Linked DNA regions of Ovis aries. The main gene of each other region encodes a partner of the protein of the gene in region 7 in a complex. Links are inferred from orthologs where the notes say so. Each region holds a gene or a part of one and is shown on either strand. Other genes may lie near its edges. The genes, in order: THOC1, DDX39B, ALYREF, THOC6, THOC3, THOC7 and THOC2.

The links.
Region 1: the proteins of THOC2 (region 7) and THOC1 are in contact, whole or in part, in a cryo-EM structure (PDB 7ZNL), measured with the Homo sapiens proteins. The link is inferred for Ovis aries from reciprocal best matches to the Homo sapiens genes THOC2 and THOC1. Residues at the interface, in NP_001075019.1 of Homo sapiens: Leu155, Phe156, Tyr157, Lys158, Gln160, Asn163, Leu164, Leu165, Arg166, Asn169, Glu170, Ala173, Lys174, Ile176, Ala177, Gly180, Gln181, Asn195, Lys197, Ser198, Leu199, Ile200, Gly201, Cys202, Phe203, Asn204, Leu205, Pro207, Asn208, Arg209; in NP_005122.2 of Homo sapiens: Asn134, Arg138, Asn141, Leu144, Arg145, Lys149, Thr153, Cys156, Gly157, Gln160, Leu161, Ala164, Arg165, Phe167, Gln242, Phe245, Arg246, Tyr297, Ala299, Lys300, Phe301, Arg319, His320, Leu323, Gln324, Ile327, Tyr331, Arg373, Phe374, Lys376.
Region 2: the proteins of THOC2 (region 7) and DDX39B are in contact, whole or in part, in a cryo-EM structure (PDB 7APK), measured with the Homo sapiens proteins. The link is inferred for Ovis aries from reciprocal best matches to the Homo sapiens genes THOC2 and DDX39B. Residues at the interface, in NP_001075019.1 of Homo sapiens: Lys550, Tyr551, Met553, Lys554, Arg555, Leu556, Thr557, Lys558, Glu559, Tyr582, Gln586, Lys589, Tyr590, Asp591, Asn592, Leu593, Pro596; in NP_004631.1 of Homo sapiens: Leu282, Asp283, Val284, Leu285, Glu286, Phe287, Asn288, Gln310, Asn311, Phe312, Pro313, Asp335, Phe336, Gln337, Arg338, Arg339, Arg355, Ile420, Ile424, Glu425.
Region 3: THOC2 (region 7) and ALYREF share a complex: the UniProt entries of both Homo sapiens proteins name them as parts of the transcription/export (TREX) complex. The link is inferred for Ovis aries from reciprocal best matches to the Homo sapiens genes THOC2 and ALYREF.
Region 4: THOC2 (region 7) and THOC6 share a complex: the UniProt entries of both Homo sapiens proteins name them as parts of the transcription/export (TREX) complex. The link is inferred for Ovis aries from reciprocal best matches to the Homo sapiens genes THOC2 and THOC6.
Region 5: the proteins of THOC2 (region 7) and THOC3 are in contact, whole or in part, in a cryo-EM structure (PDB 7ZNL), measured with the Homo sapiens proteins. The link is inferred for Ovis aries from reciprocal best matches to the Homo sapiens genes THOC2 and THOC3. Residues at the interface, in NP_001075019.1 of Homo sapiens: Tyr395, Arg396, Pro401, Lys402, Gly403, Ala404, Lys405, Gly406, Ser407, Pro446, Ile447, Ala450, Arg454, Cys500, Asn501, Ala502, Cys503, Met504, Glu506, Pro563, Arg566, Gln567, Lys570, His573, Tyr603, Leu604, Thr605; in NP_115737.1 of Homo sapiens: Asp193, Met196, Ile208, Val217, Gln218, Asn221, Ala222, Pro224, Ser225, Ala244, Asp245, Ala246, Leu247, Ser249, Trp251, Asp252, Asp254, Glu255, Leu256, Val257, Cys258, Val259, Cys261, Ser263, Leu265, Asp266, Pro268.
Region 6: THOC2 (region 7) and THOC7 share a complex: the UniProt entries of both Homo sapiens proteins name them as parts of the transcription/export (TREX) complex. The link is inferred for Ovis aries from reciprocal best matches to the Homo sapiens genes THOC2 and THOC7.

Annotation. Positions count from the first base shown.
Region 1 is NC_056076.1:35,630,439-35,633,476, reverse strand, and holds part of THOC1 (THO complex subunit 1), read left to right. Parts: coding exon 1-49; intron 50-383; coding exon 384-479; intron 480-1,032; coding exon 1,033-1,098; intron 1,099-2,596; coding exon 2,597-2,680; intron 2,681-3,038. UniProt on the Homo sapiens protein: Component of the THO subcomplex of the TREX complex which is thought to couple mRNA transcription, processing and nuclear export, and which specifically associates with spliced mRNA and not with unspliced pre-mRNA.
Region 2 is NC_056073.1:26,836,324-26,839,896, reverse strand, and holds part of DDX39B (spliceosome RNA helicase DDX39B), read right to left. Parts: intron 3,387-3,573; coding exon 3,268-3,386; intron 1,038-3,267; coding exon 906-1,037; intron 218-905; coding exon 108-217; intron 9-107; coding exon 1-8. UniProt on the Homo sapiens protein: Involved in nuclear export of spliced and unspliced mRNA. Component of the TREX complex which is thought to couple mRNA transcription, processing and nuclear export, and specifically associates with spliced mRNA and not with unspliced pre-mRNA.
Region 3 is NC_056064.1:50,497,977-50,502,190, reverse strand, and holds the start of ALYREF (THO complex subunit 4), read right to left. Parts: upstream 2,812-4,214; 5' UTR 2,780-2,811; coding exon 2,543-2,779; intron 2,063-2,542; coding exon 1,931-2,062; intron 436-1,930; coding exon 288-435; intron 1-287. Other genes in the region: ANAPC11 (anaphase-promoting complex subunit 11), read left to right, coding at 3,548-3,656. UniProt on the Homo sapiens protein: Functions as an mRNA export adapter; component of the transcription/export (TREX) complex which is thought to couple mRNA transcription, processing and nuclear export, and specifically associates with spliced mRNA and not with unspliced pre-mRNA.
Region 4 is NC_056077.1:2,938,472-2,942,729, reverse strand, and holds the start of THOC6 (THO complex subunit 6 homolog), read right to left. Parts: upstream 2,828-4,258; 5' UTR 2,532-2,827; coding exon 2,493-2,531; exon of another isoform or gene 2,296-2,492; intron 1,918-2,295; coding exon 1,802-1,917; intron 1,694-1,801; coding exon 1,629-1,693; intron 1,539-1,628; coding exon 1,435-1,538; intron 1,308-1,434; coding exon 1,270-1,307; intron 1,188-1,269; coding exon 1,139-1,187; intron 1,016-1,138; coding exon 944-1,015; intron 865-943; coding exon 762-864; intron 678-761; coding exon 628-677; intron 538-627; coding exon 475-537; intron 376-474; coding exon 265-375; intron 180-264; coding exon 45-179; intron 1-44. Other genes in the region: HCFC1R1 (host cell factor C1 regulator 1), read left to right, coding at 2,936-3,096, 3,327-3,383, 3,468-3,623, 3,864-3,999. UniProt on the Homo sapiens protein: Component of the THO subcomplex of the TREX complex which is thought to couple mRNA transcription, processing and nuclear export, and which specifically associates with spliced mRNA and not with unspliced pre-mRNA.
Region 5 is NC_056060.1:5,174,648-5,178,757, reverse strand, and holds the start of THOC3 (THO complex subunit 3), read right to left. Parts: upstream 2,827-4,110; 5' UTR 2,783-2,826; coding exon 2,516-2,782; intron 1,783-2,515; coding exon 1,626-1,782; intron 295-1,625; coding exon 90-294; intron 1-89. UniProt on the Homo sapiens protein: Component of the THO subcomplex of the TREX complex which is thought to couple mRNA transcription, processing and nuclear export, and which specifically associates with spliced mRNA and not with unspliced pre-mRNA.
Region 6 is NC_056072.1:37,741,554-37,745,126, reverse strand, and holds part of THOC7 (THO complex subunit 7 homolog), read right to left. Parts: exon of another isoform or gene 989-3,573; intron 883-988; exon of another isoform or gene 694-882; coding exon 576-693; exon of another isoform or gene 1-575. UniProt on the Homo sapiens protein: Component of the THO subcomplex of the TREX complex which is thought to couple mRNA transcription, processing and nuclear export, and which specifically associates with spliced mRNA and not with unspliced pre-mRNA.
Region 7 is NC_056080.1:107,630,540-107,634,112, forward strand, and holds part of THOC2 (THO complex subunit 2), read right to left. Parts: intron 3,036-3,573; coding exon 2,907-3,035; 3' UTR 2,474-2,906; coding exon of another isoform or gene 2,446-2,473; 3' UTR 1-2,445. UniProt on the Homo sapiens protein: Component of the THO subcomplex of the TREX complex which is thought to couple mRNA transcription, processing and nuclear export, and which specifically associates with spliced mRNA and not with unspliced pre-mRNA.

The DNA.
Region 1 (3,038 bases), on a different chromosome or scaffold from region 7:
ACTGGAACTCATGGAAAAATGAAGGCTGCCCAAGTTTTGTGAAAGAAAGGTAAATGTATACTCAGCTCAAGCAGTATGAGAAAGGCATTTCAGAATATAGCTTGACACGATCAGTTTACATGACATCCGGATCTGTGTCAGTGTGTTCATGTAACAGTATAAACTGTACTCTATAAAAATACAACTGCTTTGATTTACTTCTGTTATTATCAAAGGGAAAATGCTTGCTGTGTACCCACATCTTGTCGTTTGTCCCCTCATGATGAGTGTGATAATATGAAGCGTCCATGTACTTTAGGAAGAAAACAGTAACTAAATTTTCTTGTACGTTTAACATTGTTCCATCTCTGCCATCCATCTGAAGTCCCAGTGTGTTTTCACAGAACGTCAGACAGCAAGCCCACAAGAGCAGTACGGAAAAGAGCAGCGCCGGAGGACTTCCTGGGGAAAGGGCCCAGCAAAAAAATTCTGATGGGCAAGTAGGTAAACCTGGCTCCATAGCGGGGGTGTCATCACAGAAGCTTTTACATTGTGAAAATATTGCTCTAAGAACTCTCCAGGTTTTGTGTTTTTCCAAGTTTCTTGTGTTTGGTATGTACATATATGACCAAAGCAAACTACACCTGATGAGCCTGTAGGGTTCATACGAGACAGAACTTCCGTTTTGTCTCCGGCTTCCAAGGTCCATGGCTATAGGTTCTGCCTTATTTTCCACGTCAGACAGTCCACTTGCTGTCAGATTGATGCGTCGTTTCTGGCTGTTGCAGGGTGCTGTAATCCTTTCATTTCTTCCACCTTCCAGTTAACTACTCTTCTCTTTATACTGCATTCGATTATTTTAGAAAGAAGTTAATAGTCATTATTACTTAATAAAATATATGCTCATATAGAAAATTTGCTAAATACCAAAATGTAATGATCAAAACTCATCGCCGCCCCAAAACTCACTATTTACTCCAACTATTTTTATAGCTTTAACATATAAGAGAATGGTGTCCATAAACAACATATTTTTTTGTGTGTGTTTTGTAGTGATGAGTTAACAAGGCTTTGGAATCTCTGTCCTGACAACATGGAAGCCTGTAAATCAGAGACAAGGCAAGTTTAAAATGTTTCATATGAAGTGTTGCTTTTCTCAAATGTTAACTAGCATAGAACTTTTTGTCAGCTATAAGCAGAGCTCAAAAGAAATTTTAAAATTTATTGTGGTTGACTTCTGCTCAGCATAATATAGCTTTCCGTAGAACACCTAGAGGTGCTGATAAAATAATTGTAGAAATCACAAGAAAGAAGAATTCACAAAAGGGAGAATGAAAAATCGGAGTAAGAACTACAGGTTGGTTACTTGTAGCTGGGGAGCAGTGCAGGTTGAGTCCCACTTTGGGAACCAAAGAACGTGGGTTTTATAGCAACAGAGCACAGAAAGTATGGCTTCAAGCCTGTAGACTGGTCACTGAGTGCCCCTGGGTAAAGCTGAGGCCCTCAACACACTCTGTTAAAAAAAGGGCCATGCGGAAGGAAGAGGGACTTGCTCACTGGCACAGGAAGCAAGGAGCTTATCCACTCCCACCTGAGATGTGGGCAAAAAGAAAAAGGTATTCCCTGAGGAATTATAACCATATCTGCTGTTATGTGGCCTCTAAGAGTTTAAACTTATACTGCCCGCAGCAGTGTGAAAGAACAACCTAAGCTAAGAGGGTGAACTAAAAACTCCCAGGCGGCTGGCAGAAAGCTTTTTCTAGCGAGAGGGGGAGATCACATCTTCTACCTAATTCACTCAGGGATTCTACAGATAAGTCTAAAGATAAGCGCACCATCCAAACCTAAAACCATGACTAAGAATCAACAGGTAGAATAAGCAACTAAAAGGAACATGACAGTCTCAAAAAGGACCAGGCAATTTGAAAAAAACAAGTAACTCTTCTAGCAACAAGAAATTATAGCCATTTTGTACAACACAGAGAATATAGCTAATGTTTTGTAATAACTGTAGATGGAAAATAACCTTTAAAAATTGGATAAAGATTTGATGTCTTTTTTAAAAAAGAAAACACAGCCAGTTGTCATTTCAGTATGACAAAATTTAAGTCTCTTTGGAGAGACCTTTTAGCCTGCTTGCGTGTATCAAATTTTACTTCTAAAGACAAATTGAAGAAAGATGCAGTTAAAAATCAATCATGCCACCACGGTAACAATCTAAACTAAACTCAGTGTGAAACCATATTGTCTGGGTCTCATTTCAGTTTGGTTCTGGTTTTTAAAAAAATTACCCATGGATGTGAAAACCTCCTGCTTGCTGGTCAAATTTAACTGCTCTCAAGCCCCGGGCCGCCCTCTGCGGCAGCGCTGCTGTACATGGCAGCACACAGCGCTGTGTGTTCCCCTCCAGGCTAGACTGTATATAACCGGGGCCAGGGGCACTACACTGCCCTCCACTGTCCCCTTGAGAAGTTCAGTTTTGCATCACCTCCTTAAAAATCTGAGTTCCTAAGTAATCCAGTTGTAAATCAGTGTGGTTAATACTAGAATCTTTATTGCCTCCATTTTATGAGTATTAAGCACATACATGATCTTCACTGGTTATTTTAACACCCAGGGAATACATGCCAACTTTGGAGGAATTCTTCGAAGAAGCCATTGAACAGGCAGACCCTGAAAACATGGTCGAAAGTGAATACAAGTAAGTAATGTTTCTCATGAGCTGATTTCCTCTATCTTAAGCACCGCATATATACCAGAACACTAAGGAAGACCACTGATACAAGTAGTACTTTTCGCTTAGATGAGGTTATCTTCCAGCTTCACGTTACTCCATGTCCTGATTTCAACGACCATTCCCATTTTGACAAACAAGCAACTTAGAATGCTTTCTGTCAGAAGTGGAAAGATCCCCTTAGAACCTGTCTGTCACCTCCTTTCCCTGTTCCCCTTCAGTTCACGGTATGTCCAACAGCCACTGACCTCGTGGGGGCATCCAGATCACTTGCAGAAACTTTTAAATGGAACAGATCTGTGCTCTGGATTCTCTGTGGCTCACC
Region 2 (3,573 bases), on a different chromosome or scaffold from region 7:
GAGAAAGCCTTTATGAGAAAGGAAAGCAGAAAGTGTTGAGATTCTCTTCTCTCAATGGTCCCTTTTGCTCACAAGGACACAAAACATCTTGCCCATCTCTGACTCACCTCTCCTCCTGGGGCATCCCACGGTGGATAGCAATGGCTGGGAAGTTCTGCTCCACCAGGAGCTGGGCCAGGGCAATGCAACGCTGCACAGACTTCACAAATATCACCACCTGTGTGCGTGCGTGGTGTGTATGAGATTGGAGGGATGTGCGTCCATGTGGGTGTGTGTGAGAAAAATTACGAGCAGGAGTTCTCAGTAATTACACTCTTCTAAAAGAACTCCTTAGTCCCCATCACATAGTTCCTCTTCTGCTCTAAATACTAAGTCTTTCCCGCTTGGCTCTGACTTTTCCTGAGCAGACAAACATGCTGCAGAGGATATGGAAAACAGTAACCAAAACTACCAGATACATTAGGAGACAAGAATGAAGCCACCACATGAGAACGGTAAAAACCTGACGTAAGTCTGGAAAGACATGACCATTATTCCCACTCACCAAAACATCAAACATAGTAAGAGCTTATAGAAAATGATTTTTAGTGCAAACAAATCACACTAATGAAACACTTCTCCCTGGTGAGCAGTGCAAAACACAAATTTAAGAACCTGTCTAATTATTGTGGGACTCTCATTAACTTTAAGACTCAAGATTTTATAATTTGAGGTTTACTTTCTGTATCAGGCATGGAACAGAAAAGCAGTTCCCATTGCGCTCACGCTCAGCCCCTAAGTCTCTCATTTAAAAGACTTTTTCCACTATTCTCTTTCACATGGCATACGTGGCTTCCTCAATAAAAAGGTTTCTGCCAACAGTTGGAGATGTACTCATTCTCCCTACTGGACCCTGGACAACTAACCTGGTTGAATTCAAGGACATCCAGAAGGTCAAAGAGCTTCCGGTTCTTCTCGTTGTCCTTCAGTTTCACGTAGTACTGCTGCAATCCATGCAGCGTCAGCTTCGTCTCATCATCCACGAAGATCTCCATTGGCTGGGGGGGAGGGGGGAGGGAAGGGGTGGGGAACGGGAGGAGGGCAGAGTGGGGGGGTTAAACCTGGGGGGGTGGAGGAAGTTGATCTCCAATACACCCCATGGGGGGATGGGGAGAAGAGAGAAGATTGAAAACCCAGCCCCACCCCCAAAAATACCCACATTTTAATGTGGTCTTTTGGACATTAGATCTGATTTCCTTCCTATCAGTTGAGTTTTAAGATTTCCCAACTGAAAACTGTTATAGGAAAGGAACTCTGCAGGGAGGAAAGGGCAGAGTCCAACCACCAAATGGCAAGATGCCATTACCTCAAACGGAGGTGGTGGAGGAAAGAAAACAAAGGGAAGTGGTTCTCAAAGCGAGAACATGAAGCAAACACCTGGGAAATCATGGCAACAGTGACTCGAGGTCAGAATAACTCCATTAGAGCTGGTTTAATACAGGGCAGAGCTCCATTTGCATATTCTCTCAACTAGGAGAATCATATCTCCATAAGGTAGGTAGATGTCTTCCCATATCTCCATTAGGAAGGTGGAAGATCAGAATACTTCAATGGACTTAAGGTCAAAATGCCATGAAAAGAGGCAAAGATTGAGTAGCAACTTGCTCTCGGACCACAAGGAAACAGTTTGAGAGAGATTGGTCTCTGAACGAAAAATCAAACCATCTATAGTGTTACGAGGAAGGTACAATGAGTGGTGGTAAGAAGCAAATTCAGAGCAGCAGAGTTACTCAGTCATCTTTAAAAACAAAACAAACACACACAACCCTTGAAGGGAAGGTAGATAGCATTCACCAAAAAAAAAAAAAAAAGTGGTAATTGACACAAGAGTCAACTCTAAAGCCCAATTTCCCTTGTGTGCTGTGTTTAGTCACTCAGTCGTGTCCGACTCTTTGTGACACCATGGACTGAAGTCCACTAAGCTCCTCTGTCCATGAGGATTCTCCAGGCAAGAATACTGGAGTGGATAACTTTTCCCTTCTTCAGGGGATCTTCCCAACCCAGGTCTCCCGCATTGCAGGTGGATTCTTTACCATCTGAGCCACCAGGAAGCCATGGTTAACGTAAAACCCCAGGGTACAAGATTTGGGGAAAGGGTAAGTGTGTCATAAGTGAAAACCAGAAGCTGAACTTCAGAATGCAGACTAGCAAAGGAAGGATTTCCAAAGAGAAGTTCCATGGCTTCCTTCCAATCTAACTTGAACCCCAAATACAGCTAAAGGTAAGAGTTATGGTCCATGGGAAGGAGCACAGCAGGGAGGGAGGGAAAGAACACACTCCACTGCTTACACAAGGGCCCGCCTAGCCCAGACCCTACCACCACCTGGTTACACCCAAGTGGAGCGCTTCACTTTACTTTTTCCATATCCCTCTGAGTATTAAAAAAGTTAAAAAGAAGAAAAAATAAAAATCTACCACCCTACTCAGAACACCCCTCCCCACCAACACAAACGGAAAGAAACAGGGAGCACGGCACGCCTTGGGTTCAGGAAAAAAACCGGGAACAGAAAAAGAGGCTGGTTTGGTCCTCAGCTTCCTGGTCAGGTTCCCCGCGGCCTCCGCTGCCGCCATCCACCGCCGGGTGCGTCCGCATTCCCCCGCCGCGCCACGGTGCTTCTCTGCTGCTGGTTCACATCAACCGAGGTTCCGACGGGTGCGAGGAGGTACGGGTAGGAAGGAGCATGGACTCGGGGATTGAGGTGCCAAAGGCCCCCACCCCTGGAGGTGGGGAGGGAGCGGATTCGTGTGTGCTGTTTGCTCTTCTTTTGGACATGCCCTGCCATCTGTCTGTCCCTCTCTTGCTCTCCTGCCACCGGGAGGTTATGACTTTGGGGAGCAGAAGGCTCCGGCTGTATGCTTGACGCCACCTGGAGGGTGCGTGGCTGTAGGGGGTATGTAGAAGACGATGGGTGGGTGGTAGGGCAGAAAATCCTGCCCTCCCCCAAAAGGGAGAAGAGGTTCAAAAATGCTTTGATGAAAAAAAAAAGTCGAACACTACCCGCTCTCACGTTAACCCGACCAAGTCTTCCGGAGTTTCCCTGGCGCCGCGCAGACCCTAACACTAACTGTCTCTGCCTCTGTGTGTCTCTTCAAGGAGTCATCACTTTCAAATGGGCGCGTGCCCCCTTCTTGGCGCTTGAAGGACAAGGGAGTCTGGAGGAAGAGGGCGCGGAGGGGGAGAAGGCAGCGGGCGGGGAGTGGAGGGAGAGAAGGTAGAAGGGTATTTACGTCTTGCATGAACTTGCGGCAGACTGGACGAATCTCTTTGCTCAAGGTAGCACTGAACATCATGACCTGCTTCTCATGGGGGGTCATGCGAAAAATTTCCTGGACATCCCGACGCATGTCTACAGGAAGAAGAAAAAAAAATTATGGTAGAAAAGAGACATATTATCATAAATGAAGATCAGAGACAGGCTTATCAATGAGGTAAGGACTGCTGGAAATGGGTGAGCCGAGAGTTGCGGGTCAGGGTTAAGATTTGCCTCGGGTCTCTCTCTACTCTATTATCTCCAACCGCCATGTAATCACGTC
Region 3 (4,214 bases), on a different chromosome or scaffold from region 7:
CACTCAAGAGTTGTACTATGGTGGTTCTGAGAAGGCTTCACAGAAGTGAATCTTCCGGAAGGAGCTGAAGGAGGGGAGGGACGTAGCTTGCTGGATGGGGATTCACAAGAGGTTGGTCCAGATGTGGGGGGCAGCATGAGAGGTGGCAGTGTGGAAGAGAGACAAAGGGGCGAACACAAAGTGTCCTCAAGCAGAGGGGACCCTACTCTTGCAGGGATGGGGCCAGCCTCTGGCTCCGCAAACTAGCTACAGCGCTGCAGCCTTTCTGGGTCCAATCCCAAACGCACCATCCAAAGGAACGCCGTTGTACTGTTTCATAGCTTTTAGTGCATCTGCCTTCCGCTCAAAGTGCACGTCAGCTGTTCCTAAACTGCGGCCAGATCGGTCGTAGTGCACAGCCGCCTTCTTCAGAGTTCCAAATTCAGCAAAGAGCTCCTGAGAGTCAGAAAGAGCAGTTGTTAGCACAGCAATTTTTCTTCTGGTGGCCCAGGGACACTCCCTGGAAGTGTAAACTGCTTTGGGGTATTTCCCTGGGAGGAAGACATACACGTGGTGGGGCAGGGAAGTGGCGGTGGGACCTGGGGTATGGGATGGGACAGGTGGGACAGCAATTTCCCGGAGCAGCTGGGCCCGAGGGCTCCTGCCCACTTGGGAACCTGACATCTATACCACGATGCAGGTGAAGGATCACAAAGCCCACCAATGAAGGGCAAAGATTTAGTTGCTATCTTCTTCAACAAAGGAATATTTACAACACACCCAAGGACTGTGCCAAGAAGCAGCCAAGGCCAAGATCACAGAGCAAGGGGCTCTATCCACTTGTGGACCAGCTCCAAGGGCCCTCTGACTGGGAGCCCTGACCCAGCCCCTCCCCCAGGGCAGATTCTGGCTCACCTTTCCCTCTCCTCCTACTCAAGCCTGCCGCAAAGCCTGAAGTCAAGCGCTGCCATGGAAACTGCCCTGACCTCAGGCAGGCTGGGAGTTGGAGAGGGAACCCAGAGTGTGGGGCTACTCCGGCCGCAGGCACACAGCGGGAAGTGGAGTTCACCAAAAGCGGTTTCCAGTGGATGCCAGAAACCACCTTAAAAAAAGTGTTGAGACACTGTGAGTGCTCACTGGCCTTGCTCTGTCCTCCCAAGGCAAAGTAAATGGCTGGGCTCTGGGAAATTGAACCCAGGAAGGCCCAGTACCCTGCCCAGCCATCTCCTGGACTGACCCCCAAGATGTCATTACTTAACCATTTTAGGCAGCAAATTTAAAGGCCTTTAGGGTTCAACCGAAAAAAAAAAAGAAAGAAAGAAAAGGAAAAAAAGAAAAAGGGGAGGAAAGAGAGGCAAAAAAAAAGAGGCTTCAACCAAAGATGTTTGAGAATCATGTCACTAACAAAACCCAGGGGGTGAGGGTAAGTGAGAAGACAGGGGATGAAATTCCAAGTAAGACATGGGGCTTAAGGCAAATGGAGCCAGAGCGGCGCTGGCACCATCCTGCTCTGTGCTATGTCAGTTCTACAAAGGAAGTGCTTTCTCCTCCCAACAAACCATTAAAACAAGCAAAACGTAAAGAAAACAAGTAGCCTAGCTCTTCCAGGAACAGAATCGGAGCACAGTCAACCAAGCTTCTGCCAGAAGAGCTTGGGCAGAGTGCCTTCATCTACAAAACACGTTTTAGCAAGGAAGAACAGCAGCGCCCCAGACTAAGCTGGGGCCTTGTCTTCCAGCACAAACTGACACATTGGTCAGGCTTTCAACTCTAGCTCAACCTCTGCTCTGCATTCCTGGAGCCCATCACAGGGAACAGTGGCTGGCCTTTCGGTGCCTGGGAGAGCTTGTCGTCCCAAGGTGTGCGTGTGGGGGATTCTGGGCCAAGTCCCAAACGCCACAACCGATTCCGTGCGGAGTGACCCGCCCACCAAGAAACTCCAGTCCCTTACCTGAATATCAGCGTCGGACACTCCAAAATCCAGATTTGACACCAGCAGTTTCCCACCGGTCTCCACGCCGGCACCACCCCCAAAACCGCTATCGAAAAGGTCATGCTGCCATTTGTCAGGAAGTTGTTTCGGCTGAGGGAAAAGAAAACACAAGAACAGAAAAAGGTCTGTGAGTCTCACTCCAGGGCTCGCCCTCGCCCTCACGGCCACAGCAAGAGCCTCCCCCCATCTCGGCGGGGAGGCAGGCGCTGAGAGAGACCCGCAGCCTCCGCTTCACGCCCGCGTCAGGCCGTACCCGGCCGCCGCGGCCACACGTCCCGCAACTTCTCGGTTCCCTTCAACCAACTTCCCGCCACCGGGGCGGCCGCGCCAACGGCCCCTCAGCCCCCAGCGCCGTGAGGCCGGGCGCCCTGTTAAGACAAAGGCCGCCAGGGTCTCCGCCTTGGTGCCCGGCAGGCGAGCGACCTTCCCGCCCGCCGAACCGGCCGGCGCCCGCGCCCCCCGGCCCAGTCGGTCAGTCGGTCGGCCGCCCGGACGGCCCGCCGGTCGCCCGTGCGCCGCCCTGCCGGTTCGCTCCCTCGCCGCGGCCCGCCACCCGGTCTCCACACTCACCCTGCTGTAGGGCGCCGGCCGGTTCCTGCCGCCGCCGCCCGCCGCGCCGCGGGCGATGGCCGGCCGATTCCGAATGGGTCCGCCGCCTCGGTTCACTCGCGCGGCGGCCTGGGCTCCGCCGCCGCGGCCACCCTGGGAGCCGGCCCGGCCGCGGCCCCTGCCCCCGCCGCGGCCGCCTCGCTGGCTCCGGTTCAGCTTAATGATGTCGTCCAGAGACATATCCATTTTGTCGGCCATGGCGGGCGCGGAATCGGCCTCGGCTCGAGCCCGCGCGTCAGCACGTCGGCGCGTCACTTCCAGCGCCGCTCGCGGGTTTTCCGGTGCCGCGTCCTCAGAGCGACCGCGGATTGGCTGCGGGCCTTCGGCGTCTCAGGGGGCGAGGTCGCGCGTGCGCGCTGAACCAAGGAGCTCGGCGGGCGCCTCTGAGAAGTGCCGAGCCGCGGCCACAGGCGTTTATATACCTTCCCGCGCGGGGCCGGCACTGCCAACTGAAGGCGGGTGGTGCGGCGCGCGATTAGATCGGCGGGGGCGCGGCCGTTGGGGGCGTGGCCGAGCGTGGCGCCTCTCCCTCGCCCCTCCCCCACCGCACCGGGAACCCGCACCCTAGTCCAGCGGCGGGAGTGAGTGCGGCCCGCGCCAGGGTTGTTTCCGGGGTGACCTCGTAGGGAGCGGGCTTGGGTCTCCATCTCTCAGCCCCGTCAGCCCTTTCGGAAGTAGCGCACGGCGCGTTTCTGCGGTTGTTAAAGAAAGCCGACGAGCCCTTCTGCGGACGCCGAGGCAGAAGTGCGGTGTTGGCGAAGGACCAACACCGGTCCTCCCGGTCTTCCCGAGGACCCGGCCCCCGCCCCAGTCCCCTTGCAGACAGCCTCTTACTGCCTTTCGGCGGCCACTGTTGCCTACGCTCGACCCTCGGGGCGACGCCCCTTCTTTGGCTTCCAGGTGCCGTAGCTCTGCAGACTCAGCACAGCCGGGTGGTCTCTTCCCTCCTCGCAGGCTCCTCGCGCCATGAAGGTGAAGATCAAATGCTGGAACGGCGTGGCCACTTGGCTCTGGGTAGCCAACGACGAGAACTGCGGCATCTGCCGGATGGCCTTCAATGGCTGCTGCCCGGACTGTGAGTGTCCCCTGCCCGCTGTCTCTCGAGCTGTGCCTATCATCTGGCCTTGGCGTGTCCCCAGAAGTACTCGCAGAGCGTTTCTGGGGTTTGGTTTCCTCTTCCCAAGAAAAGTTGACAGAGAAAAGCCAGGCTATTTGGGCCCATATTTGTACAAAGATCCCGTCAAAAGTTTTGTAAGGAAAAGAGCACAGTTTCCTATCCTGATAAAAGTCACTATGAGACCCGTGGAACACAAAAATGTGTTAAGACATTGTATTTGAAAATTTCAAGTCAACAAAAAATTGTGACGTTACAAGGTTTCCCCCTCAATCCAGCACATAAATGATGAATAACACGTTTTCATATCTGGCTGTTTTTGCCCAGCTGTTTTAAGGTAAATGCTAAATATCTGCTGCATTGTCAGGCGGGTTCCTTATCACTGAGCCACCAGGGAAGCCGCAGCAAATGCTAAATGTGATGTCCTATATCAGTGCTGACTTTTACCAGCACTGTTGTCACTTTAGACAATATACTGCCTTACTGTTGCCGGTCATTCCTAGTCCTTGTTCAGGTTTC
Region 4 (4,258 bases), on a different chromosome or scaffold from region 7:
CGCCCTGGCCTCCCAGGGTCCCCACCACCCCTGGCCGGACCCACCTTGCACTCAGGGGCTGCTGGTTGCTGGTTGAGGCTGAGGCTTAGCAGTCCCGGGGAGGAGCCAGGCACTTGGGCCTTGAGCTCCCCACTCAGCTGCCACTGGTTGACACAGCGGCCCTGTCCAGCTGATAGAATCTGTGGAAGACAGGGAGGGAGCTCAGAGTTCAGGCCTGGAGGGGGAGCGCGGCAGGGACAGCAGAAACAAGACAGAGGGCCTCACCAGGTCCTGGTAGAAGGTGACGTGCTTCTGTGGCGCCCGCATGGGGAAGACGGTGGTGGGTGTGGAGGATCGGAGGTGCCAGAGGGTGAGTGCTGGGCCTCCTCCGCAGACCTGGGCAGGAAGTTGGGGGTCCCAAGTTACCGTGAGCCATGGGCCCTCAGCCAGACAGGGCCCGAGCTGCCACCCCAGCCTGCACGCTGCCTGGCTCACCATCCAGTCCGAGTCAGTTGCCAAACATCCGATCCAGCGCCCATTGTGGGGCCTCGAGCACTCCTGGGAGGGGGGAGAACAGAGCGGAAGGTGAAGACACCGGGGATGCCCAGGAAGGAAGGAGGGAGGACAGAACGTGGGGTGTGCCCTCACCTCGTGCTTATAGACCTCGACTGTCTGGACCTCCTTGGCTGTGCGCAGGTCTGCAGAGGAAGAACCTCGAGAGGTATCCTCCTCGCCTCAGGCTCCCTCACCACCAGCCTTCCCTCCGATGTGACACTCCTTACCCCAAAGCCGCACGGCCCCATCCTCGCCGCCCGACAGCACCTCAGGGCTCCGCTCCCGCAGTGCCAAGCAGTGGATGTAGTCCGTGTGGCCCCGGAGGGCCCACTGCAGGGAGAGAGGTAGTGTCAGGACAAGACCCGGGAGGAATGCCGTTGCCCCTGCTCCCCTGGCCCTGCTCTCTCACCATGAAGGTCCCTGTCTCAAGGTCCATTGCATGCAGCTGACAGTCTCCCCCCGCCAGGATGAGCAAATTCTCCTGCAGAGGAAGGTGGGATGGAGTCAGAAGTCAGGGTCAAGTCAGGCCACGGAGAGGGGAAGGATCAAAATCTGGGCCAAAAACAGGACAGGGAAGAGCCCTGAATTTACGAAGGGCTCGAACCTTGGGCACGAGAAGCAGAGCATTGATCTCAGGTACTTCCAGGCTGGTCCTGGGGAAAGGAAAGCAGAGTCAACTCTGGTGAGGTGGCACCTTCACCCCCAGGTGCCCTCTGCTCACAGGGCCTGGCTCACCTGTATGGGGGCTGACGACGCCACAGCTCCTTACAGCCCTTCGTGGAGAGAAATGCTTGTTGTACAATCGCTGAATTGTGTTAGACTCTGTGACCCCATGCACTGGGTGGCCTCAAAGGCTCTCTGTGTCTGGGTACCTCACCCTTCCCCCAGCTCCACACTCACCTTCTTAAGGATCTCCGCCCAAAGCCAGGCCTTCACCTCCCCATCACCAGCACTCAGCAGATGTCGATCAGTGGAGACCATGCTGTAGACGGGCCCATCATGGGCTAAATGGAAGCACAGAACCTGAGTGACCTCGTCCTGCTCCTGTCATCCACCCTGGGGTCCCCCAAGCCAGACTCAACGTCTGCACCCACCATGGAAGGTCACCATGGGCTTCTTACTTTCCTCTTTGGCCTCGGAGCTCAAAGCAGCAGACAAGCTGAAGGGAAAGGGGAGAGGGGCCTGAGTGTCAGAAGAAGGGGGCATTAGCCCCCCAGAGGGCCAAGTGCCAGAGCTCATGGACAGTGGGGAGCAGGGGCAAGGGTACCTAAAGATAGCTATCTGTCCATAATTGTTGCCAGCAGCCAGGAACTTCCCACAGGGTGAGACGCTCTGGGAGAATATGGTCATGTGCAGCCGCTGCAGAGCCTGAAACACTTCCATCTGTGGAGAGAGGCTGGATAAAGGCAGGCTCGGGCATCCGGGACCTCTGACCCACACACTTCTTCCTGCTTCCCCTGCAGCAGTCGGGCCTCCCATCACCCAGTTCTCCTTTGAGACAGCCCACCAAGTGGGCCTTGCCCATTTAAGTCCCAGGGGCGGCTCCAGGGAGGTGAGGAAGAGGAGAGTTGAGGCATGATGCCCAGTGGAAATCTGAGCAAAGACTCAGCCTCTCCTCCCGGTTTCCTTAACTGTCTAATGGAGCTCATGGGAGATTTTGTCATGATTGGATGAGCTACTGTACATAGCGTCGCAGTTTCTGTCTTCGCTCAGAAACGGCTTAAAAAACTCTATTACTCCAATACAGAAAAACGTACTGACCCCTGATCCGCATCCTATGACTTTCACGTTAGGCCCCTGAGGTATTTCTGGGTTATCCTCCCTCCCCTGGGTCAGAATCCGATCCCACCAACAGCCCACGCAAAACAGTGCTCAGGGCACGACTCCCCGCCGCGCCCCTTCGGAGCCAGACGTGGACTACAAATCCCAGAAGGCACTGCGCATCGCCCCACCCTCACCTGACCCAGAGGCACCGCTTGCTGCGCCGCTCGCTCCATCTCGAAACTAAAAGTCCCAGAGTGCTCCGCGCGCAACGCAGCCTCACGAGTCCGGAAGTGCCAGTGGGCGCCTCCCTTTCGCGGTTCCTCACCTACCCTATACCGTTGGCCGGCCCAGCGTGAAGACGGCCACCGCGTAACCCGAGTTCCAGGAGCAGAGGTGACCACCGAGAAGACACCCCAACACCAAATGGCGCCCACCGCAACCCCGCTACGCCGGGTCCCCTCCCCCACCCCGCTGAGCGGACCCGCCTTCTAGCCGCGTGAGGTTCTTCTTCCGCGCCTGCGCGGAACCTGGCAGCGCACGCGCCTAAAGCCACGCCCCACGCACTGGGTCACGCCCTCAAAGGCTCCGCCCCTGCTGCCTGGATCCCACCCCTCTGCCCGCAGGACCCCGAACACCAATGATCCTGCAGCAACCCCTGGAGCGAGGCCCCCAGGGTCGGGCCCAGCGCGACCCGCGGGCCGCCTCGGGGGCTTCTGGAGGCCTGGACGCGAGGTGTGTGTGGGACCCTGGCTGGGCCCGGCCTAGGGTCCCAGGAGCTTTGGCTGGGGCCTCGAGCAGGTCTGCAGGATGAGACGCGGTGGGGCTTATCGGCAGAGCTTGGGCATAAGCTGAGACAAGGTTGGAGACCTCCGAGGCAGGCTCGTGGATGGTCTGGGCGAGAGGGTGACTTAGACGTCAGCGACAGGCATGGGCCGGGGGGCTGCTGGCTGACGCTGCAGGCTCACGCGGGCAGATCCTGGGGATGGCGCCAAGAGGGTGGGGTGCTCCTAGCTCTCTTTTCTTCCCAGCTCCCCTCTCCGAGGAGCTGTGCCCATGAGCACCAAGCGGCGCCTGGAGGAGGAGCAGTGAGTTTGGGGGCAGGGAGGGACTCCCGCCAAGTCCTCCGTCACCTCAGGTCCCCATCAGGCTACCTCTCCTCTGAATCCCAGCCTGCCTGCGCCCCCGTCTCTCTCCAGGGAGCCCCTGCGAAAGCAGTTCCTGTCCGAAGAGAACATGGCCACCCACTTCTCTCAACTCAGCCTGCACAATGACCACCCTTACTGCAGCCCCCCCAGGGCATTCCCCCCAGCTCTGCCCCCACTCAGGTAGGCACCATCCACAGTCCTCCGGCTGGGCCTTCCAGGGTATCATACCCAGTCCTCGGAGCCCATTTCCAGGCTCTGCCTCACTCTGCTATTTTTAGCTTCTCGCCAACCTCTGTTGTTTCCCTACTTGGCTCCTTGGAAGGTGCCAGCAGTCCAGGAGCCCCTGGGGACCTGGACCAGGTGGGGCGTGGCTCTGCCAGGCCAGCCTCTGCCCCTGTGTCCTGTTATTTCCTCTTCCAGAAGCCCTTGCTCTGAGCTGCTTCTCTGGCGCTACCCTGGGAATCTGATCCCTGAGGCTCTCCGGCTGCTGAGGCTGGGGGACACTCCCACCCCCCACTACCCTGCATCCCCAGCTGGGGACATGATGGAGCTCTGAGATCTGGGGAGGAGTGCCCCTGCCCCCCCCCCCACTTCCTTCTTCCCCTGAACAAGGGAGAGCAGCACTCACAGGAAGGGACCAGCTGCCCTGCTTTTCCTCCAGACCAGGCCTCTGGGCACCAGGACCTCCCCTCAACAGAGGACACAGAGCCCTGAGGTGAAAGGGGCAGGAACATGGGAAAGGAGGCCATCCCCTCCCCGCCGAGAACTGAATAAAGATTGCTGAGTGAATGAAAGCTTCATCTGGAACCCAGCCT
Region 5 (4,110 bases), on a different chromosome or scaffold from region 7:
AGGATAGACTCACATCTAATTCATCTCGGGATCCACTACAGCACTCAGTGCAAAGACATGACAGTCCCTTAAACTTAGAACCCCCTCACCTGAGTATGTTGATACAACCGTTGCCATTTGTCAGGAAGAACATGTTATTGTCATTGTTCCAGGAGATTTCATTGACCTCAAACTTGAACTGCTCCTCTGCTTTGGAGCGGTGTGTCTTGGCATCAATGAACGTCACCACATCATCCTTGTTGCCTACAGCGATGGTCTGCCCGTCAGGACTCCAGCAGATATTAATGTTCTCCCCTAGGAACCCAGATACGATCAGCAAGATACTGTTAGCCCACAATCCTCCAGAAGTTTATCTTGTTATCAAAGAAAGACTAGAGCTATCGCCAGAGTTCATTCACTAAGGTCCTCATCAGTAGGACCAACCACAAGTCCAGCACACTCATCTACACATTTCCCCCTTTAGTGCTCACATGTCTCTAAGGGCCATTTTTCCTCCCCATTTTACAGACGAAAAACTGAGAGAGAGATGGGCCAAAGTATCAAAACTATGAAGTAACAGAGCCAAGGTCTAAATGTGTACTTGACACCAGAGCCTCTGATTCTCTCTTATACCTGTACTTCCCAAACCCCAGTCATTCACATGCCATTTCCACAATTTTTGAACTACCCATTTAATAGCTATACTTCTTCCTTCAAGACTTTTATTAAAACTGACCCCTCCAAATTTTTTAAATAGCTTCACTTTGGCAATAAATACTATAAGCTAGTTCTTTTCTTCTAGTAGGCATTAAAATATATATACAATCAGTTTTTAATGTTCATCTACATACTTAACTCACTCACATATCACCAGTTGTCTAGTTGGGGAAACCATATCATTCCACCTCCAGGTACAAGTCTCGCCAACAAAGTCCAGTAGCCCACAAATTTCATCAACTTTATTGATTCTAAGATGCATAGTTTTTCATACCTTATTACCTGTAATGTATTTTAGAATGCATCAGGATGTATTTCAAAATTTTTGGTGTATCATGACTATCTAGTAAAACTTTATTTTCTTTTCTAATGAAACATAAAATATTGATGCATCTTATAATCAATAACATCTTAGCCAATATAACTTAATAAATGGCCTCAAGGTTTATAAGGCAATATCTGAGGAAGAACAGTCTATAAATGTACTACACAACTTCCAGGTCATTTTTCTCCCCAATTGTCAAAGTCATTTATTCCAAGATCAGTCATTCTACCCTATCAGCAGTTTCCTAAATTCTCCACCCCTTAGTACATGCTGTTCCCTGCTAGAGCTGCCTACCCACTACAAGGTGACCACTAAATCTATATGGCTATCTTAAGGGTTTGCTCAAATTCTGTGAAGCCTTCCCTATCTTCCCCAGGCATACTTAAGTGTTTCCATTCTCAGTATCCACCTTGTAAACCTATCCATTACAGGATGACCATGTTATATTATGTTAGTTTTTTCAATACATATGTCTCTCCCTGCACTAAACTCTCAGGTCCTTGGAGCTGGCGACTGTCTTATTCAGATCAGGATGTCCCATACCAAGAGGGCCAGGCACATTTAAAATGAATGACTATCAGTAGCTCATCTTCTGAACAGTTACCTTTAGTGTTCACAGTGGCAATGCATTTCGTAGTCCTCACATCCCAGATGCGAATGGTTTTGTCTCCAGATGCAGTGACAAAGAGATCAGGGTTACTTGGATGCCAACAGAGCTGGTCCACGCTATCCCCATGTCCCCTATAATTGTTTTCTTTGACCTGAAAGAACAAAATCCAGATACCACTTCACCCATATGTACCCGCCTACCCATGTAACTTCTTAACCTTATTCAAAACGAGGTATCTGGCTACCAACATAAGTTTGGATGAGTAAAGAGTCCAGTCCTTCTAAATCACTTCCCCTAAACCCTTCCCAACACCCTACCCTCCCTTCCTCCCCACTGTGTGAACAGTTCTAAGGACCGGGTCCACACCAATGCCCTTTCTCTTTATCCCTCCCTGGCCTTCCTCCTTTGTGGTTTTCTACCCGTACTCTTCCACCAAGGGTCCCAACCCGCTTACTCAATTCCACAGAGGCCCTGTCATTTTGAGAAGGACTCTCCTCATCATCACAGGAGCCCATCACCACTGTCCCAGCCGCTCCAAACCACCACACAAGTCTCCCCGCCATCCTCACCACCGGCCTTTATTCTCCACACTCCCCTTCACCCCCCGCTCATCTTCACGCCTCCTTACTATCACACTCCCTGTACACCGTCCCCCGCCCCCAACCACCAGCCCTCCTCTCAATCACCCCCATCCTCACCTCTCATCAGTCCGTTCCCGCCGCCTCACCCCCCACACTTCTCTTTCGCGCATCACACACGCCCCTCACCTCCACACCCCTTCTCCCTCCTCCCTCCTCCTCACCCTCTCTCACTCACGCCATTCTTCAACCTCGCCTCACCACACCCCCTCTCTCCCTAGCCTGGGCCGGGTCCCAGCGGCTCACCAACCGGTCTTTCTCCAGCAAGAAGACGCTGGCCGTCTTGTCGAAGGACCCCGAGGCCAGGCGACGTCCGTCGCAGCTCCAGGCCACGGAGTGCACCTTGGCGCTGTGCGCCGGGAACTCGCGCGTCTTACTGTGGCCGCGGAACAGCTCCTGCATCCCGAGCACGTAGCGCGTCGGGCCGCTTGACACTGAGCACCAGGGAGCCATCGAGCCGGGACCGCTCTGGCCCAGCGCTGAGGGTCCCATGGACGCCTGGGGAATCGCCATGACGAATTCCGGACACCGGCTCAGTAATATTCTTAGCGGCAATCAGCCCTGCCGCCGCCGCCGCACGCATGCGCGGGAGAGACCACCCGCGCTTCCGCGCACCCGCACTGGGGACCACTCCCGGAAGAGACTGCAAGTCCCAGCATGCAGCGCGCTCCCGCCTTTACCTTTTCCAGTGGTCGCGGTTCCGCTTGAAATTTCCTTCACTATTAATCATTAGGGGGCTTCCCTGGTGGCTCAGTGGATAAAGTGTCTGCCTACAAGGCGGGAGACCCGAGTTCGACCCCTGGGTACTCTTGCCTGGAAAATCCCATGGACTGTAGCCTAAGTCGGACACGACTGAGCGACTTTCCCTTCCATTAGCCACTAGGAGGTTTTTAGGGTCCTTAACTTTCTCCTTACCTACTGTTTGGTAGATATATTTGTATCCCTGTTTAATCGAAGAAATAACGCAATTCTAAACCTCAGTTCGCTGTCAGTTAAAAACACATTTTTTTCTGGGTTACTCCCACCTTTCAGCCCACTCACTTAGAGCCGAAGGCTCTCTACTTCCTACTGCAGGAGGAGCCGGTGAACCTCTCTGGGAAAATAGGTGAGAGGTTTGGGATTTCCCTGGTGGCTCAGCTGGTAAAGAATCCACCCGCTAATGCGGGAGACCCGGGTTTGATTCCTGGGTTGGAAAGATCTCCTGGAGGAGGAACCAGCTACCTACTCCACTATTCTGGCCTGGAGAATTCCGTAAGCTATAAGGATACGGATACTACTGAGTGACTCTCTTTTTCACTTGCTGCGGGGAAAGGAGGCTGCCGAAGGCTGTTGGGATGATTTTGAGACAAATTCCTTGTGTTTAGAAGGCTGTTCTAGATGCGCATTCGTATATATGCAAAAATACATAACATACACAGAGTGAAGAGTAAATGCCTTTTCATGCCCCTTGGACTGGTCCCCACACCTCACGCCCATACCTCAGACCACATGTCCAGCATTTTCTTACTGAAGAAAGAGGTGGTGAGTTGCCAGCGCCAGACAAGTCGCTTGAGAAGGGCCAGTGAGCTGGGGGCTGTGTTTCGGTGGTGAAAAATTGGCTGAAAATTTCCATAAATACAAGACTTTTTAAAAAGGTAACACGTGCATTTGATAATAAATGTAGAAAAAAATGAGAGAATAAAGTGGGAGAGTGAGATTACTTCTCTCTGATGTACCCAAATTCCCCTTACAAAAAAATACGGTAAAATTTCTTGTGAGGCCTTCCAAAGGTGGCTTTGGTACCAAATCACAAGTCCATGTATGCAACGGCAGAGCGAGGCCAATCAATACTAAAACATTAA
Region 6 (3,573 bases), on a different chromosome or scaffold from region 7:
CCAAATGTGGTTTACTTGAATTTATAAACTGTATTAGTTATAAATGTAAAGATGGGACTGTAGTTGTTAGCAATATAAGTTTAATTCAGACAACTATTTTTTGAATTTTGCTTAGTATCCTTTTTTAAAATGTTTTAAGATGGTTTTTATCATCACAATTCTGTTCTCAATTTTTTCATTCTATATAATTATTTATCTATGTGAAAAGCTAATTCAAATGATGAAAAAACTCTAAGTTAGAAATTTATCAAATATATAAAACCTTGCAGCAACTTTATTAGTACTTTTTTTAAAAAATAGAGAAAATTTCATGTAAGTATTTTGTCTTACTAAACACTTATTTGCTTTTAAAAGGGACCAAAGTATTAAGTCTGAATTTAACCCTCAATTCTTATCACTGCACCTTCTGCACATTTTAATAAACATAAAAGTAGCCTCTGAAGGGAAGGCTAGAAAAACCTACTCTGGACTCTGTTAATGAGTGAAAATATGAAAAACTGACAGCACTATATGTATGATCTAAAAAAAAAATCACAGTAGGACATTAGTATAGAAACGGCAGCAACATGAAATACCCCTCTTCCTGAGATCCTGAGTTGCACCATTTAATGAAACTTTTCACCAGCAGATTAATTCTCCGATCATCTCCAGCACCATCTCCATCGATTAGGAGACGCTTCCGTATGACTTCGTCTGGAGGACAGAATAATGTGAATTAAAATGACTTTCTGGTTCCTGTTCACTTTCAGGGACAAATGAGCAACACCACTACAGATTCATTTATTTAGAAGAAAACTACTGAAATGTAAATGTACTTGATGCCACTGAACTGTACATAAAATACTGTACTTAAAAGAATTAAAATGGTCAGTTTTACATTCAGTTCAGTTCAGTTGCTCAGTCGTGTCCGACTCTTTGTGACCCCGTGAATCGCAGCACGCCAGGCCTCCCTGTCCATCACCAACTCCCAGAGTTCACCCAGACTCACGTCCATCGAGTCAGTGATGCCATCCAGCCATCTCATCCTCTGTCGTCCCCTTCTCCTCCTGCCCCCAATCCCTCCCAGCATCAGAGTCTTTTCCAATGAGTCAACTCTTTCCATGAGGTGGCCAAAGTACTGGAGTTTCAGCTTTAGCATCATTCCTTCCAAAGAAATCCCAGGGCTGATCTCCTTCAGAATGGACTGGTTGGATCTCCTTGCAGTCCAAGGGACTCTCAAGAGTCTTCTCCAACACCATTTTACATTAGGTAGGTTTTAATATAATTTCCATGTATATATATGGAAAGTTATTAACTGTCTCATGTCAGGCACTGTTTTAGGGGCTGGGGTTATATCAGGGAAAAGCCTTGCCCTCACAGAACTGACATTTTATTGCCAGGCTGTAGAGTAAAAATAATTTTCAGGTACTACCAGAGAAATAAGTCAATAATTCTTGGAGAAACTTTGTGGGCAAAACCTGTTCAGACAGAAGAAAGCCTGAAGCATTCATGGCATTGAGTACTGTAAGATACTAGTAAAAGGAACAGAGAGAAAAGAAGATTGAAAGACATAGTGGGAGACTAGAAAAAGAGAATGAGAAGTGTCAGAGAAAAGAAATTTTTTGGGGGGTGTAATTTAGTAATTGTATCGGTAACGCTTCTTTCCACGTGAGGACTTTTTTTTTTTTTTTTTAATGTCTGTCTCCCTTTTGCTCCAAGGAAAAGAAAAACAGAAGAGATAATAGAAAAGCAATGCAGATAACAATGCTGAGTAACAATTAGGGCCGCAGTGGGCTTGCTTGGCAGCCGTGAGCTACTGTTCTTCCTGGACAAGATAATGCTGGATCATAATAATAAGAGATGTGCAAGTTGAAACCACAGTAAGATATCATTTTCATCTTTCAGACTGGTAAAGATCAAAAGACCTGATAATAAGCGATGGTAAGAGTGTTGAGAAATCACACTTACATACACGGATAGTATGTAAGTGGTGTGCTCTTTGCAAGGCAGCTGGACAATCAGATAATATTCCAAATGCATATAGCTTTTTGACCCCATTAGTCCAGTTCTAGGAAATCATCCTACAGATGCATGTGCACCCATGCTGCTGCTAAGTCGCTTCAGTCGTGCCCGACTCTGTGCGACCCCACAGATGGTAGCCCACCAGGCTCCACCGTCCCTGGGATTCTCCAGGTAAGAACACTGGAGTGGGTTGCCATTTCCCTCTCCAATATGTGCACCCATGCACAAAGATATATGTAAAAGGATTGTTCTTAAGAGTGCTGCTTGTAGTAGGAAGATGGCAAACCTAAACATTCACCAGGAAAAGACTGGCTAAATATAAAACAGTTGTTACGTGTAATAATATGCAGAGACTTCCCCGGCAGTCCAGTGGTTAAGATTCCATGCTACCATCGCAGGGGTCACGGGTTCGATTCCTGGTTGGGGAACTAAGATCCCACATGCCTCACAAGGGGGGCCAATAAAGAAACAGACATATATACATAAATAGATAATTGCTAAATCTCATGCTTTTAAAAAGAGGTAGTAAGATTCAGCCAAAAAAAACCAGTGTGGATGTATATATTAATATCATAAAAATCACCTTAGATATGTTAAGTAAAATGAAAATAACACAGGTGCAGAGAAGCACATATTTTACTACCATTTGTGTAAACAAGGAGCCATCTGTGTATGTATGTGCCCATCACACATGTGTTTAGGTATTCAGCAAATATCTTTGGAAGGATTCATAAGAAACTGGTGATAGTGGCTATTTGTGATAAGAGGTATTACAGAGGATGCAATTTAATTTTTATGGTTTTATAGAATTTTTGTTTTCAACCATATGCAGGCATTTAAAAAATCGTTTTTAAAGTGTGAATAATTCCTAGAGAACCTGCATGATGAATCAACAGCAAAATCTTGAAACAATAGTTCCTGTGTGTAGGCAGAAGTATTTTTGAGTGCAGGTGCAGTGGAGATAAACTTTGGAAGGCAGATGGCTCCAATTTTTTTTTTGCCCAGTTTTAAAATCTATTCTGTGACAACATCAGATAAACATGTTTAGAATTGGGTTTCCAGCTACGGATTCATCAAGTGTTTTAATTTTACACTGAAAGATATAAACTAATGGTTTCCTCTTTTAACCACCAATAATGTTATTTGAGGAGACTGAGACAAAACACAGTCCTGGCAGAGATTAAAATTCAGAAAATGGAATTGACTTTTTTATAAAGTCACAATCATGTTTTAACTTTGTTAAAAGTAAACCTTCAGTGGGTGAGCAGTCCAGTGGTCAATTGATGCTATTTAGTTTATTTTTGATCTTCCTACCTCTACTCTTTCAAGCCCCCAGGAAACCCCATCTTCCTCCCAGATAACTAGGAACACTCCTTTATGGAGGACAATGGATTTCAAATGTAAATGAATGCAGGAACCAGGGAGTAGGGAAATTGAGGATTGAGTACCTAAAGTGAGAGGTTATTACCAGATCTGGTTTTTCAAGGGATTTTTAAAGTTTGGTGACTAACTGAAAATGTTTCCAGGACATTTTGTGATCTTTTCAGCTGTATACTTAAGATCTGTGCACTT
Region 7 (3,573 bases):
TAAGTGGAAATTTTTCATAGACAGGAATTTTTAAAGATTAAACTAGGGGAAAAGGTTAAAAGCAAAGAACTTAGTTGTGTTCCAGAGACCAAATGAAAGAGAGGTAAGATGAATTTGGACAAAGACGTTAGCAAAAACAAGTAACAGGAAATACAGAGAACAAGCAAAAAGGATTTTGCAACTAAAAAGTATGAAACAGGAAAATAAGACTTTGGAAGGAATTTAATCTGGGTCACATTCATATACTGTATTTTCTTAACTCTAACATGATCATTTTAATGTTTCTGAAATCAGGGTGATACTTACAAATCAATGCCATTTCTCTATGCACTTTTCTCAAAAAAAAAACAGTTCTAGAAAGCAACAATGAATCTTACAATTAATGACATCTCTGAATCACGGAAATGTGACATGTGTAGCAGTTCTCCTTTCTGTATAATATAAATTAAAAAGGGAGCAAGGAGCAGCAGATTTGAAGTGGCCTAAAGGTAGAGATCAGTCCTGGGTGTTCATTGGAAGGACTGATGCTAAAGCTGAAACTCCAATACTTTGGCCACCGCGTGCAAAGAGTTGACTCACTGGAAAAGACCCTGACGCTGGGAGGGATTGGAGGCAGAAGGAGAAGGGGACGACAGAGGATGAGATGGCTGGATGGCATCACTGACTCGATGGACATGAGTTTGAGTAGACTCCGGGAGCTGGTGATGGACATGGAAGCCTAGCGTGCTGCTATTCATGGGGTTGTAAAGAGTCGGACACGACTGAGTGAGTGAACTGATACTGATACTGAAAGGTAAATGATGCCAATCAGAAGTGATGAGAACTCTAAATGAAAAGGAACAGCATAAAGACTTGACCAACCCTAGAAGGTATCCAACAGAAGACAGAACAGCTTAAAAAAAAGGAAAAGTCTACCAGTGCTTTCACAAACAGTCTACGCAAGAAGAGAGATATAGAAAACCACAGTGAAAGCTGTCAATGACAATGACTGGCCCATTCCTAATGAAGATAAAAGAGGTAGAGCTTTTTTTTTTTTTAATGAGGGGACCAGGTGACAGCAAGAAGTAAAAAGCAAAAAGCAAAACGCCAACTAAAAGGAAGGTTATGGTGAAGAATAAAAAAATATTAAGAGTTTATCATTCACCAGGGAAGACAGCTAGTTGTTAGGTAAAGGGATAGGTAGAATTTAAGAACAGGTAATGTTTCTTTTATAATCTTCCTAATTTAAAAAAATCTACTAAATTCTTAAGAGCTCTCTCACAACTCTCATCTTCCCTTCTATGCTAATACTTAGAAAACGAGCACAGACTAACAAAACAGAAAAAGCACATAATCTATCAGGAAGTTACCTACCTGGCAACCTCAAATCCCTGCTTTGTAGCCAAAATAAATAGGACAAAATCCATACTCTAAAGTTCACTGCTTTATATGGAACAGGCTCTCAGACATTTCTCACTCAAACTGTAAACAGCCTTGGTTATCTATCCAGTTTAATAAAAGATTAGAAGCAGCAAATAATATTAGGAGGAAGGTAGAGAATGTAAGTATACTTGATGTCATTAAGAAGTGACAGCTAAAACAGAAACAAGAAAATTGGCTATAAAAGATTCAAAAACTTCAATACTGCCATCTCAAACCATTAGCTGTAGAGGGCAAATCATCCTACATACCTCAATAATCCTAAGGCATCACCAAACAATAACTTTTCAAATGATGATCTGAGTGCTCAAAAAAGATCATATTAAGGGTTCTGAACACTCTGTCCACTTATAATTTAAGATGGATAAAACATTTTTTTTAATTCATATAAGGTATAACTACTTTGAAAACAAAATTGCCTATTTTAAATTCCAAAACTAAAAGCACAGACCATATTTTTGGCTTTGAAAAACATGGGCAGTGATAGAGAAGCAAGAAACTTTAAGACAAAAAAAATCTCTGAATAACATGTCGGCATGAAAGGCAAAAAGATGGGAGAACACTAGTAGGCAAGAAGATCTACGTTTATGTATTGGCCATGTCAGGTAATATCTCTGCCACCCCCTTCAACTTAACCTTATGAGTCTCAGTTTCTTCCCCTGTAAAAAGCAGATACCACCACCACCTATAAGGTACTTTAAAAATGGATTGATTATCCAGAGAAGATGGGAATGAGTGGTGAAGAGAAAGCCAGATGTTTTTAAACACATCTTGATGCTTTAAAAAAGAAAAAAAAAAAAGGCATGACTTAATCAGCAAGCTTAAAATGAAAATAGCTTAAAAATAACCATGAACCTTCTTTCACATCTTTACCCAAAGACCTGAGCATTATATTTAGGTGAAACACTACAGTTGTGTCTTGCAAAAACGGATCTAGTTTCTTCAACATTATCATACCTCATTTTGTATTTCTATCTTTAAATGAGAAAGAGGTAAGAGAAGACTCACCTTGATTGAAAGTCTTCATTATCTGTGCTTGTCCGAGGACTTATGAGTAGATGACAAATTAAGGGAAAACAACTTTTCGGGGGGTGGGGGGGGGGGGGCGGAAAAATCGTGTCTCATCTTTTAGTACAATCCCTCAGCCTGCAGGCCTGACTCTTACCAGCCTAGTAGTCTCAGACTCTACCAGCTCTGCTCAGCTGCAGCATCATCTTGCTCTGCTATTCCCCATGCCCCCAGCCCAAGGGACTCTGTTTCCTCTCCTCCTCTTGGTGATAGAGCCAGAGGGACTTTAAATCCCTTGGTGGCATAAAACCACCTCAGTTAATAAAGAAGTTTAAAAAAAACAATCAAGTCTCCCATTTCCATGTTTCATACATTTGAGAGGGTTAACTAGAGAGACCATTTAAAAGGTAGACCATTTTTAAAAGTCCTTAAGCAGTTAGACACATATTACAAGGGTACAATTCTAAATAACATCAGTATCAAAGTTTTCCATTATACTGATTAAAAAGATCTATAAGATGAAAAGGATATTGTTTCTTCTCTTCCTTTCCTCCTGAACTGTCCCGTTTCTCTTTCTTTTCTATCTTTTCTTTATCATGCCTGGACTCCTATAACGAATGGTAGAATTAGTTGAGGAAGGGAAAACCAAATATAAAAATCAGTTTAAAATCCCTTTTCATCAGCCACCAGCCATAAATTTTTCTTCAGACTTATTTAATATAACACCAAAAGCACAAGCAAAACAAAACTGGACTTCATCAAACATAAAAACTTGTATATATCAAAGAACACTATCAAGAAAGTGAAAAGACAACCTATAAGAGAAAATATTTGTATATATGTATCTCATAAGTGTCTAATATCAAGACTACATAAAGAATTCTTACAACTGAGTAACAAAAAGACAAACAATACAATTTTTTAAATGGCCAACACATCTAAATAGATTTTTTCAAAAGATATACAAATAGCCAACAAGTATATGAAAAGGTGTTCAACATCATTAGTCATTAAGAAAACACAAAATCAAAATGACAGTGAGATACTAATTCACACCCACTAAGTAAAAACAAATAAAACAGAAACAGAAAATAACAAGTGTTGGCAAGGATGTAAGGAAATTGGCACTCTCATATATCGCTGGTA